Linked DNA regions of Lytechinus pictus. The protein of the gene in region 1 binds, or shares a complex with, the protein of each later gene. Links are inferred from orthologs where the notes say so. Each region holds a gene or a part of one and is shown on either strand. Other genes may lie near its edges.

The links. The genes of interacting proteins can lie anywhere in the genome.
Region 2: mediator of RNA polymerase II transcription subunit 19-like (region 1) and mediator of RNA polymerase II transcription subunit 20-like share a complex: the UniProt entries of both Drosophila melanogaster proteins name them as parts of the mediator complex. The link is inferred for Lytechinus pictus from reciprocal best matches to the Drosophila melanogaster genes MED19 and MED20.

Annotation. Positions count from the first base shown.
Region 1 is NC_087246.1:20,716,628-20,723,884, reverse strand, and holds the start of mediator of RNA polymerase II transcription subunit 19-like, read right to left. Parts: upstream 3,005-7,257; 5' UTR 2,959-3,004; coding exon 2,784-2,958; intron 1-2,783. UniProt on the Drosophila melanogaster protein: Component of the Mediator complex, a coactivator involved in the regulated transcription of nearly all RNA polymerase II-dependent genes.
Region 2 is NC_087247.1:67,256,369-67,263,901, forward strand, and holds the start of mediator of RNA polymerase II transcription subunit 20-like, read right to left. Parts: upstream 3,019-7,533; 5' UTR 2,997-3,018; coding exon 2,860-2,996; exon of another isoform or gene 2,450-2,859; coding exon of another isoform or gene 2,319-2,449; intron 1-2,318. UniProt on the Drosophila melanogaster protein: Component of the Mediator complex, a coactivator involved in the regulated transcription of nearly all RNA polymerase II-dependent genes.

The sequences.
Region 1 (7,257 bases):
CAAGAGGCTTCCTGGGATCCATGCTAATATACAAACCAAATTATATGAGCCTAGGTTAAGTTCAACTGAAGTTATCACGTTTACAAGGACTGCAGGAGGGGAGGATGAAAATATGTCACTGTGATCTTGACATTTGACCTCAACATCAATAGGCTTCCTGGGATCCATCCTAGTATCATACACACCAAATTATATGAGCCTAGGTTAAGTTCAACTGAAGTTATCGCGTTTACAAGGACTTCAGAAGGGTAAGATGAAAACATGTCACTGTGACCTTGATCTTTGACCTTTTGACCTCCAAATCAATAGGCTTCCTGGCATGCGCATGAGCGAGGGTCCGAGCTCAGACCCTCACGCACGCGCATGCGATGTCTTGAAATCGGCAGCGAATTATTAATACGTGTGAGGAACTCTATGTTGGCTCTAGATCACCAATTTTGAGACTGATAGAAGCATGGAAAAGCAGTGAAACTTTTTGTAAAGTAAGAATATTAGTTTTAATTGTTTTTAAAGATCGTGATGTTGCATGAATTTTATATTTTCCCCCCATAAAATCCCACCTTTGACTTTGTCAAACGCAAACGGTCACTCGGAATATCAGAGCGAGTTCACGGGCTCGATGTTCGGGTAAGTGTAGCGGTAGTGAAGTGGAGCCTGCAGGAACATCGCTTGAGGTAACTAACCTCGTACTAGTGTGAGTGGGGTGACCCCCCCTCTTCTTCATACTGTCTACAACGACAACGTATGGCAGTGAGTCCAAACTTTGCGTGTGTCCATACTTCGCGGACGGTCATTATCTAGAAAACTAGACAATATTCTTAAAATCTGACATCATCAACGTGAAAAGCGACTTAAAATTACCCTGTGGCGTAATTTTTTTTAGGATGAGTTCAGTATTCATGAAAATATTGACAAAAGATCGGCAAATTTGTCACCGTTAGCGCCCGTTCCGAAAAAATCTGATATTCTCAACAAGCATCACGATATCATCATTTTGCAAGCAGATATTATCAAAAATGTGAGTTAAATGTGGTAGTGACTGATTCTATGGCATTTTGTCGTCAGCGGTTTTCCAGCACAGCGCACATTCGTCGATGGGAATGGAATTTTGAGAAATCGCGATACCGGCGAAACCCGGCCTTGCTTGGCCTGCCCTTGTCTTGACCTACTTCACATTTTCATCAATGATTTTATAATTAATGATCCTGCCGTCAACTATTTCTTGAATTGGTTTTGTATAAATTGTGAATATTTTGTGAACAAAATTAAGCCTGAAGAATATTTTTGAAAAGTCCGCGAAGTTTGGACACCCCATCATATAGTCACGTATTGTATTACCGGACACATTATGATTCCGGACGCGCATATTACTGCGTTCGAAAACAATTTCATACCGTATGACTTCCGCAATTCAATTTCACAGAGCAATACATGGAACAAGATTGCAAAAACAAGGCGAAAAAAATCCAACTTTTACCTTATTATCTCTAAAATGACAGAAAATGCTTAAAATATCATATAACCACTCATTCAATGAACAAGGTTATGATATAACCTTGTTCTCAGTTATATCTCCATGTGTGGCAAAATAAGGATGGCAATGTTTGGCTTATTTTCTCTTTTTCTTTGGGAAAAATGCTTGATTTTTTTTACACTGACAGTTTCCATCACAGTTATTCGTCATACAACTTGGCCCTTAAGTAAATTTGATTCTTTAAATTATTTTTTCTTAATTAAAAATAGAGATTAAAAAATGAAAATTTTCTTGCCATATTATTTTCTATCAATAGAGGGCGTACACAAAAATATGCCCAAAATTCAAGTTTTTGAGCGCTCTAGTGAATACAAAAATTATTCCCAAGTTACTAATGAAAAATAAATTGCAACTGTATGGAAATTAGTAATTTTGGTCACAAAAGTGATATTTTAATCATTTTTTAAAGTGTGTGCTGTGTACAGCATTGGCATGCCATAGTCCTACCTGTAGATTCTCCACAGGCAGGATGGTTGCAGTGAACAAGTGCATATAACATAGTTTTACATTAACGATTGACATATTTTCTAACGGAAATATGGGCCTGATTTGCCGAATTTCAATCTCGTCCACTCCTTCGATCGAATGATGAGGTGTGGTATATTGTGGGTGACCGTCGACGGCTAGTTCTCAAGGTACCCGTGCGCGAGGTTTACCGTGAGTAGAGCCGTCGATCGGCAGCGCATCGATAGAACTTGACGAGCGTCACGATACGAACGCGAGCATATATTATTGGAAAGTGCCATGGAACATGCAGCTAACAAGAAAAAATAAAATAAGTTATCAAACACGAATTTATTACCAACATCTGCTCAGATTCGATATAAAAAGCAAATAAAAACTTAGAATTTACTCATATGATATAAGAAGAAAAAAATCACACAAATTTGTTCTTACATCATTATAATCAAAGATATCTTTACCCGTCCGGCACGCGTCCGGAATCATGATGTAATTTGTCGCGCACGAAAATAATTGTTTTTCGTGGAGGGGTATGCGGCAACTGCGATGCAAAGAAAATGGTTGGTAAATATAAAATAATTTTATCATATTCATAATTTTCATAATATTTGGAATAGCAAATGTGATTTTTTCTTGATTGTATTTCCTCTAGTTGTCATTTTTAAAGCACTGAAATAAAGGTGTCCGGCAATAGGATACACTGCCATACAACTTCAAGTTGTCTAGTTAGGCTACAACATAACATCATTTTATACGGGTGGGTCTGTTTATTTTTTTTCCGACTTACCATTGGATAGTGGTGGGTCTTTCAGCAGATAAAACGGTTCTGGATCAACGCTAGGTGGACTCAGGAATTGTTTCGTTGGCATTGGAGATCTCTGACGAATCGGTGTCGGCATTTTTGGAGGAATGCCTCCGTAGTTTGAAGAAGAGTCGGAGGGACTTCGCTTGAAAAGCGACATCTTTTCTTTTTCACCAATTTGGTCTGCCTAGAAAACAAGAGAGGGCGCTGTAACATTATTGGAGACAGAACCATTAATTAATGGTTATTGATAGTGCCTATATACAGTGCGTCCCACAAAAAACGAAACCGAGATTTAGCGATGATTTATCATAACTTAATCATAAATACAATACAGGGGCCGCGGAACGGTTTTCAAAGTGGGGGGGGGGGGGGGGCTGAGCCAAAAGTGGGGGGGGGGGCTGACCATGCTAAAAATCACAATCATATGGTCATTTTTACATTTTTGTACACGGTTTGGAAAAAAGTGGGGGGGGGGTGAAGCCCCCCCCCGGTTCTGCGGCCCCTGCAATAGACAAATGACCTATCAATGTAAAGCATAGCAGCTTAGAATCTCCTCTTTCATCTGATATTATTTACATTATTCCTCATTCACGCATGAGTGAGCAAAAACAATTTGAAGAAAGGATACCAACAACTCATTTGGCGGGGGGTATCTGAATTTCAAAAAGAAAATCACATGCCTAAAAAGTTCAATATCTGCTCTTTTTTTTTGATACCTTATTCACAAAAATGATTCAGAAGTAAAAAAGTTATGTTTTCTCGAAACAATGCTAGTATTTCCATAATTTCATAATAATCTAAATAATCTAAGTAATTCCAGATGAAAGAGGAAATTCTAAGCTTTACAATGGTAGGCCATAAATCATTGAATAAATCTCGGTTTCGTTTTTTGTGGGACGCACTGTATAATTAATAAACCGGGCCCGTTTATTATTCATTTAAGTATATACATTTCTTTTATGAAAAAAATAACCTATGACAATGTAAAATTTATGAAAATATTAAGTTCAAATGTACTTATACCTTTGTTATGATGTCATGAATTTTTAATAGAGGGGGAATGTAAAAAAAAATATTATTATTCATATTGATTTGAATAACTTTCAAAACATGTGTATTTTTTAATGATATTTTTCTAATTGTTATATTAAATCTCCTAGCTGGCAACGGGCCCCTGATCAGACATGTTTGCAGAAAGCAATGTGGCTTCGATAATTCTGATCGGAGGGCCACGGCTCATTGCCCTGGGAAGTGGGGGTGCTGAAGCTGCCGAAGCAGCCTTCATTTTGGAGAGAAAACCTTTTTTACTAGTCAATTTTTTCTGACCAAAATCATTTTCATATTAGAATGAAACGGGTTTTTTTGCTTTTTTGGCTTGATTTTCTTAACAAACTAGCATTGCTCTCTTAATAATTAATAAAATGCTCCCCTGTCGGGTTTATTATGAGAAAAGTCGACGTGCTCGCATCACATTTTTAGTTCATGTTCAACATTGTTTACATCCCATTTTCAGATCATGCAGTTAATAAAAATTTCACCTCGCACGCTCGCGTTCTCATGCATGCATAATGATTTCTTTGTGACAAATGTGTTCTGTTCATGATATAGAAACCGCGGCTTCGCGCTGGCATATCTATCATTTTAGTGATGAGATACTGTACTATAGGGATATAAGCTCTATATATATATGACTTACCGGCTTACTTTAGCATAGGGCCCATAGGGCCTATATGCCCCCTCAAATTACTGGGGTTAGTTTAAATATCTTCTTGCTCGTATTATTTGTTTAGACTTTAGTGAAATCCATGTCGTATTCATAAATTTCTACAATATTCCCACATCGATCATTATGTCATCAAATGGAATATTCCATTTACAGATCATAATTAGATTTTTTAGCCCAATATCATGAATATTGTGAGCTCCGTGTTGTACTATGCTTGCAACAATAAAAAAGAAATTAGCTCGCGATACGTTCGCATTATGAGTTACATATCAAAATACAATTTTTGAAACTTGAGATATTAGCTAAAATCTTGAAACTTATTTTAAACAAAATTATGAATATGACAGATTTCCACCCAAATAGTGAAAATACTCACTCTAACCGAACAAGCTCCACATGGAATTAATAATTTAAGGGTCAATTAAATTTGGAAAGAGGAGGTAATGTCTTATTGGCGTAATTATTTTTCAACACCGTTTTGACATCTTTAGTTCTTTCCGAAGATAATTTTATCACGGCACATATTCTCTCGAGAGCCCCCCCCCCCCCTCTCTCTCTCTCTCCCTCTCCCTCCCCCTCTCTCCCTCTTTTTCTATCTATCTATCGATCTCCCCCTCATCCTCTTTACTCATCATATTACACAAAATACTGAAATATTGACACTCTAGGTGCACATGAGATGACTTGAGCAGGGTGTTTATTGTACATCAACAGTAAAAATGTTGTTTTCCATCTTTTCTGCGAAATTTGCTCACTGGCTTGCCTGGAGAACAATGAGATGATGTTTGACGACCAGTATAGATTTCTTGAGGAGAGTTGTGGACTGTAAACAAAGAACAAAACAAGCTCGTCGTCAATTCATGTGCAACGTACAGCAAAAGATTAGAAACAGTATATACTTAAGAGAGTAATAATATCTTGTTATCATAAATTTATTTGCAGAGTGCAAAATCAGTATTTAGCTAAAATAGGAGGGAAGTCCGGGATTGGTTAGTTATCTTATTTTGGAGAAAATTTTATTTTCCATAACATTTTGTGTGACTCGACTGGACTTGGAACCATGCAACCTCAAGTATAATGAAACCGCCGGATAGAATGCTCTATAATTTATTAAAAAAAGTAAACATGACCATATTTATTGCAACACAAAATCAGATATAATATTATACTTATATAAAGGTAAATATAATGAATGATTTTGAATTTAAATTCGAATTCTTTTAATCATTTCTACAGAAAAAGTAATAAACAAAATTGCATAGCATGCATCCCTTGCAATTGCAGAACAGTTACTTAGAATAAACAACAGTGTACAAATTGTGAATCATCATTTTGATTCACAGACAAAAAAAAATGGCATTACACATTAAAGGACAAGTCCATCCCAGCAAAAAGTTGATTTTTATGTATATATATCTGTACTCGTTGAATTTTTTAGAAATGAATAAATGAACTGAACTGAACTGAAAAAAAATATGAAATATGAATTATTCTAATATTCTCCTCATTGTCTTGCGAAATGAAGTTTTATTCCTCCCTGAACATGTGGTATTACCATTGCTACTACATCTTATGGTTCTGTTAAGTTGGTCCTTTATGTGAAATTGGTAAACATTGAAGTAATGTATAATTCAAACAATAAAAAACAAAATAAAAGTGAGTGATGGACATCATCGACTCTCTCATTTGCATGTCACTGAGTTGTGCATATAACTGTTTTGTGAAATTAAGCGAAACTTTAAAGTGTTATAACTTTCTTATTTTACATCCGATTTTGATGAAATTTTCACTGTTGTACTTGTTGAATTTTTCTCTTTTTATTCAAATCAACTTTTTTTTGGGGTGGACTTGTCCTTTAAACATGAATATATCTCTGTAGAAATAAGTCCGAACTGAGATGCTTCGTCTATATTGTTTGGATTTTAAGTTGGATGCATGGTTAACAACTACAACGACTGAAATGCCTTTATTTCCCCCTATTTTCAGGCAATTAAATTAGTACAATGTTTTTTTCATACCTCATCTGAATTAATTATCCATCCATAATACAAAGGTGCCTGTCTGTTGTTTGAATTTTAAACGGGTGTTCCTGTGTTGGCTGGTCTGCAGTTGACATAACGTCTTCTACTGTTACGTCTGTACTTGCGATCACAGACACAGTTATCACCGTTGGAATTCTTGCAGTCTGAAATTATAAACAAAATGCATTATATATCAAACGAGTGTAGGAATTGTAAATTAAATTATAAAAATGAAATTTGAAAAAATATCAAAACGGCATGTTGCAGTAATTGAACAGAACTACAACAGTTAAAAAAAACTGTTTAAACAACATATACTGTAAGGTTGATAGTAAACAAAAATGCATTAAAAAAATTAAACAAAGTTTTTACTATGTATCCTATTATTTTATTTTTTACTCACATTTGAATCGTCCTCTCTTCACCATTGGCTCGCTTCCATAGGCCATCTCTTCCAAGAGATCTCCTTCCTCCATCGATCGCTTGTCCATCAGATCGAAGAGCTCGTTCTCCTCCTCCTCCATGGCGACAACGGAGGCGACGACGACCGCGAGAGCGAGGAAGACATAGAAAACCTTCATCTTGGAGTTCCTGTTCGAACGTAATATTTGGTTGATTTAATTTTTTATTGATAACTGTTTAAATATGCTCATCATATAATTATGAATCTCATAATGCATTTTATTACATTAAATAAACATCAGTGTGC
Region 2 (7,533 bases), on another chromosome or scaffold:
AAATGTCATAACTTTCTAATTTTACATCCGATTTTGATGACATTTTCAGTGTTATACTTGTTAGATTTGTCTCTTTTTATTCAAATCAACTTTTTGTTGGGGTGGACTTGTCCTTTTAGGAAACCACAATGACCTCAGGATTCTGTAAATAGTCTACTACTGTACAAACTTTCTTAAAATTCACAATAATAATAATCTATGCAACATTTCTAGCACTTAATAATACAATGTTTCTAAGTTTGTTATACTATTACCCGAATTAGCACGGCTACTCGTATCAAGCGCTCAAGCATTCAAGGAATTTCTTTCTACTACCTACCCACGTACTATAGTCATGTATCGTATTACTGGACACTTTCATGATTCTGGACGTGCATATTAGTGCATATGAAAACAACTTTGTACCTAGGACTTCCGCAGTTCAATTTCACAGAATACATAGAACAAGATTGCAAAAACAAGGCGAATATATCCAGCTTTTACCTTACCGGTATTTAACTCTAAAATGAGAGAAAATGCTTAAAATATCATATGACATAGTTTTGCATTAACAATTGATAGATTTTCTGATGGTAATATGGGCCTGAATTGCCGAATTTCAATCACGTCCGCTCCTTCGATCGAATGTTGAGGTGTGGCATGTATACATTGTGGGTGATCGTCGACGGCTAGTTCTCAAGGTACCCGTGAGCGAGGTTTACCATGATAAGAGCCGTCGACAATCATCAGCGCATCAATAGAACTTGATGAGCGTCACGATAAGAACGAGCATAACATTGGAAAGTGCCATGGGGGCATGGAACATGCAGTTAAAAAGACAACAAAATAAAATTAGTTAGCAAACACGTATTGTTTACTAACATCTGCTGAGATTCAATATAAAAAAGCGAACAAATAAGAATTTACTAATGATATGATATATGAAGAAAAATTCACACCAATTCTTTCTTACATCATTATAATCAAGAATATCTTTACCCATCAGCGCGTTTCCGGAATATGATGTAATTTGTAACGCACAAAAATTGTTTTTCGTGGAGGGGTATGCGGTAAGTGCGATGCAAAGAAAACGGTTGGTAAATATAAAATAATTTTAACATATTCATAATTTCCATATTTGGAAAAGCAAGTGCAAATTTTTCCTGATTGTATTTCCTCTAGTTGTCATGTTTAAAGCACTGAAATAAAGGTGTCTGGCAATAGGATACACTGCTATACACCTGGTTGGAAAGATGCAAATGTACGTAACGCCTTGCCAAAGGACGAGAGTCCTGCCGTGGGATTCGAACCCCAGACCTTGTGGGTCCAAGTCCGGAGGCTTATTCACTGAGCCACAACACCACTATGATATTAGTCATTGATCGATTGATTCATTACCAAACTAGCACATGTAGAGGAAGAAAAAATGTCATACACTGTCTTTGAAAATTACACAAAATTTATTCTAAAGGGCATTTCTTTTTCTTTTTAAAGTGATGGAAAGAGGCAAAAACATTGTCATTGTTTTCTAAAAAAAAGCCAAGAAAAATGGTCAAGAAGATAGCACATTATTTTACTTGGTACAATAATTAATAAATTATTCTATTGAAGAGAAAATTCTAAATTGAAATGAATTATGGGCTTAGATTAAAGTCGTGCTTACATGGAGATAAAAGTGACAAAGCCAAAGGATTTATATTAAACAATGAACATGATGAATGAGTTGATTAAAAGTCAAGAGTCTTGAAGCCAGTTTGGAATAGAATTAAATCACCAGTTTTGACATCAAATTTTGAAACAATGAGGTCTAGATGTAATCAAAATATTATAGACTTCCATGACATTATCCTGGTTTAAGTCACCAGTCCATGATTCACTGCCATTTATTTCGTCAGCGCTGGCGACTTCATTCCACTCCCATTGTCTTTGTGCACAACGAGTGCACACACACCGACACACGAGGTCGAGAAGAGAGCCTGAAAATTTTCACGATAAAGCTTATTATTGGCCAATGAATAAGATAATTGCGGCATTATCCTGGTTTAAGTCACCAGTCCACTCCATTCACTGCCGTTCATTTCGTCAATGGCGGTGACTTCTTTTAAGTTTCATCTCCAATTGTCTTGACTTTGTCTTGAGTTTTACTTCGACCTTCGTAGAAATTGTACACAACCTGCGCACACATACGAGAATAGAGGCGACTTATTTCAGGATAAGGCCATAATTGCTCTGAAAAATTAAAGAAATCTTGATGTACGATAACTATCACTAAAATTTAATGAAGATGTCACAAGAAAACCATGCAGCAAGTAAAGCGACACTGACACAGTGACACTCACACATATTGCGAGGTTAGTACCTCGCACCATGAACCGCGTTTGGCAGTGGATTTCTGACTAGTGGGTCGCGAGTGCGAGGATCTCACTTCTGGTGTCCACAACACACGACTTCTATGGCTTCTATGACACATGCAGTGACAGTCTTAGACCAAAACTTTAAAGCTTCGGTCTCTGTTATGTTGGTTGTTCAGCTGAACTCCGTTGGCTTCACTCACCAAACAAAAAAAAGTTAAAAAACTCCTCGAAACAGACGGCTGCCAGCTGTCTATGACAGTCTCAGCTCTGTCAACGCCAACACTAACAGTCACACATCACGAAATTCAGTATATGGGCACATGTAAGTTAGTTTAGCGACACTGACCCAAAATATACGTCGTACGATCGACTAGGCCTACCTGTCCTTGCCGCTTGGGCATCTACAGGTGATAGGTCTAATCACAATTCTTTCATAAAGTGAAAATGATAGTTGAAAGCAATATCAGGCATGCCCAATATCAATGGCTCATTTGAACTATTAAGATTGCAACAACAAAAAACATACCACGTTACTCCCATTATGACAAAACAGCTTTTCTCCTTTTGTATTTTGGAAGCGCGCCGAAATATCTTATCAACGACAAATTTGCAATTGTTGGTCCGGTGCGCAAATCTTCGGATGATCGGCATATCTGCTGTCATGTCCCAGTCCACCAACTTTCCACAAATGCCTATATAGAAGCTCTCCATTGTGATTTTAATTGCATTTTCAAAGGAATCTATGCGTTGTAGAGAGTTTCCCCGTTATAAATGCGAAAACTATCTAATTCCTAAATGCAGCACCCCCTGGAATTCTAGTAAATGTGGAAAATTTGTGAATTCAACCTAAAGGACCTATTTTTAGTGACCCCCCCCCCCTTTTTTTTTCTTTTTCTTTTTCTTTTTTTTTTTGCTTGTCAAATTTCTTGGGACCATAACGAGACCTTATTTGGGTTATTTTTTAGGGTTTTGTAGTGAAACCTTTTTCTTTTTTTTGTGGTTCCCAGGCCCGTACTGCCCCTCCCTAAAAACACACACATGTACACACAAACTGAGAAGGGTAACCTGCTAATAAGACGCTAAGTACTGGTATTGCATACATAGATCATATACTTGGTACTTGGTAGGAATCCTCCAAAAGACGCCATAAAGGTGTTTAAACTGGAGGTGTGTCGTGTACGGTCACCAACTTAAGGTTCCGGTTTTCAAGGTTTTTTGGAGTGCTGGCTTAAAGGTTCCTAAGGATGGTTGGGATATAACTGAGGAGGGGAGATGGTTCCAGTCTTTGACAGTCCTCGGAAAAAAATTAGTTTGCATGTGTATCTGTTCTGACATGTTTGATGTAGAATTGTTGATCATGACCCCGTCTTGCTCGATTTTCCTTCAGAGAGATGTATTCCTTGCAGTTGACGTCCATTAAACCATGGATCATCTTGAATGAACTGGTGATTCGGGAACCCTGTCTTTCCTCTTGGAGGGGGATCCAACCCAAGGAGTCCTTCAGAGCAGTAACACTTGAGTCTTGCCCATAAGTGTTGGTGGTGAACCTAGCTGCTGCATTCTGGACCCTTTCGAGATTTGTTATGTTTGTAGTTGTGTAAGGATCCCAAACTGAAGACGCATATACAGTAGTTAAGATGAGGCTTAACCAGCATAGTGTACAACTTCTCCTTCGTCTTAGATGACTATTAATATACCGGTACATGTAGGCCTATTGTAAAGAGATTAAAGATTTACATGATACAAAATTACATGATCTAATGGCTTTGTAGTTTTGGAATCCCCCAAACTGCATAACTATAGGCCATCAAGTTCAAGTATCGTCCGTAATGGTGCATCACAATGATTTAAAAGAGGCATAAACATGTTTACCAGATACGTATCCACACAATCAATTACATTATATTTTCGTTCCTTTCTTCATAATAATTTTATTCTGATGAAACCCCGCCATTCGACCATTATAAGCTACAAGGTCCCCAACTTATTGTTCTGTAAATGTGCATGCGGTGATGTAATGATTATGAGTATGATTTAATTTTCATCATCTTATAATCGATATACAGGCCTAATTATAAGAATTATTTGATTAGAATAATTCCTTTGATGAGCGACTATCTCATCATTGATAGTCCTTCACGGTGAGGTTTTGCACCCACCAGCCCTACCCCGGCTCTACCCCTCCGGATCCTGGCGATATGTATTAACTGATGGATGGTATTTATCCATTACGTACCATATTTGCTAATTCTAGATAGAATGAATAATAATGAATGATGCTATATTATAATAAATGGACATTATAGACCAAGTGTGAATTAGACCAAATGAAAATTAGACCAAGTGACGATTAGCCCAACTGGTCATTAGACCAATTGGCGATTAGACCAAGTGGTCATTAGACCATTTGGCTATTAGATTAAGTGGGAATTAGACGAATTGGATATTAGACCAAGTGGAAATTAGACTAAATGGAAATTACACCAAGTGGAAATTAGACCAAACGGTCATTAGACCATGTGGCAATTAGACAAAATGATAATTAGACCAAGTGTAAATTAGCCGAAGTGGAAATTAGACCAAGTGGTGCTAGACCAACTGGAAATTAGACTAAATGGTTTTAGCCCAACTGCTCATTAGACGAATTGGATATTAGACCAAGTGGGAATTAGACGAATTGGATATTAGACCAAGTGGAAATTAGCCCAACTGGTTATTAGCCCAAATGGAAATTAGACGAATTGGATATTAGACCAAGTGGGAATTAGACGAACTGGTTGTAGACGAAATGAGTTTAGACTATGTGAAGTTGGACGAACTGATAAGTAGACCATGTATAGTATTAGATCATCCGACAATTCACTAATTCATGTATCAGTTAAACAATAATATGTTACCACCCATATCTAATTCTTCATTTAGCAAAACTCTTCACAAATATCCCACACGTCAATCAGATGAATTCCATTTACCACTACCCCGGACCATCCTTGCAAAATCAATTTTTACTTTTGAAGGCCCTAGACTCTGGGGAACTATTAATAATAACATCAAAGAATCACCAAGCCTAAATTCTTTCAAATATAAGTTCTAAAAAATTATCCAAGATAACCATTGAATTAACTCTTCATCACTCAAACTCTTGTATTTTTTTAATCAAACATGATTATCGTGTGACGTACACTTTTCCATCTCTTTCGTTTTCCTGTTGATGCTGGATTCTGGAGACCTTTAATATCTCTTTTTCTTATTTCCTTTTCTATTTTAATTTCCCCCTATTTCTTTTTAATTTAACTGGTTAATGCTCAAGTTGTTATTTTGATGATGCTATGTAACTAGAAAAATATTTATTAGGAGGCTGCACTCTACGAGCTCCGCTTTTTAGCAGCCTCCTCCATTTCCAACTTGATATGTAATGAAATTGAATATAATTTTTGTACTGGGATACTTGAAATATGTTTCGTTATTTGTATGTCAAAATGTACAAAATAAACTGTAATTGTTGAAAATGGAAATAAACGAAATGAAATGTTAACTTGCGAAAATGAAACAAATAAGGTGAAATTTAGTAAACCATATTCCCTTTGTGATAGATTTAAATGAAAGGAAACAAATATTATCTACTGCTTAATGTTTATACAGATGGCGCTATATCATCTTTGGATTAGACTTGGCTAGACTTAAATAATATGCATTTACACCCGCAAAAAACAAAAGCCATGGTATTTGGTCAAAAGAAAAAGTTGAGGGGTGCTCATTTGTCAGTGAAATTCAGAAACATACAATTAGAAAATGTAAAAAAGATTAAATACTTAGGTGTCATGCTCGATCCGGGCTTGACTTGGTGCGAACATATTACTAATATCGTTTGTAAAATATCTCGGGCAATATAGGTTGTGGAAGGCGGATTAAGCACTTACTGTCCTTTGATATTATGAAGAAGCTGTACTTTTCTATGGTTTTACCTTACATTGATTACTGTATTACATCTTGGGGAAGCAGTGCAAAAATACATTTAGATAAGATACAAAAACTTCAAAATAAATATGCCAGAATGCTTTTGAAAAAAGATTATAATACATCACAAATTTCTTTGTTGCAGTCACTGAAGTGGCAATCAGTAGATCAGCGTATAAAATATCAGTATTGTGTTCTTGTATATAAAATAATGAATGATTTAGTTCCAAATTATTTAAAACCTTTAGTATGTAAACGGCCCGTGAAATACAGGACACGGTATTCTTTACGATGCCCCCTTCAGCTTCCCAAAGCTAGAATTGAACATAAAAGAAAATCTTTCGCATATGTCGGACCCAAATTATTTAATGCACTTCCTTCAAATTTACAAGTTTGTACCTCCTTGTTAGTTTTTAAAAAAATTATGCAAAGCCTTTCATACGAATTGATAAAGAGCGAAATGATATTCCTTTGATTTACAATGCTATGTATGTTTAAATTGTCACTTCCCACTCTATATTTTGGTGTTAATTGTTTCTGATGTTAGATATTTTGTATTTTGTATTTTTGATGTTGTTTGTTGTTGTTGTTCATAGTTATCTTGACATGTATTTTAAACTGCAGGGCGCCTTTGTAAAGCAGTTTTAAGAACTGAACAGGCCTACCCTGCAGTATAAAATAAATAAAACAAAATAAATAAAATAAATAAATAAACAAATAAAATTTAACAAGTGTGCTAAAATCGATAGATCAGAAGTGATTAGATATGGATTAGCTATTCATTTTAGAGATGTTCATCTTATTTCAAACAAGTCATTATTTAGAAATAAGATTTTTATAACGTTATCAACGAGAGATAGCGCTATGCAACTTGAGTTCCTGCAGTCATTTGCAATATGAGAGGCGGTGATGATAATTATGGTATGATATTGAAGAAAAGAGGGAGAGGATTGTGATAGTGCACGTTATAATTTCATTATCAATATCACTATAATCATAGTAAACAATAATGATAACAATCCCAATAACGTAACAATTTTCACGAAGATTACCAAGAGTACAAATCGATGAAAAGTAGAAAGAAAACGAATTTCATCAACATGAACTTGACTGTGTAAAGTCTTTTATTTCATGAAATTTCAGGATCTTTGAAGTCTCACTCGATTTTTTATACATTGTTAAGTATGAAATAATAAAAAGCAAGGAAGATTAGAATGGCCCTTGTGCAAGGATGACACGCAAA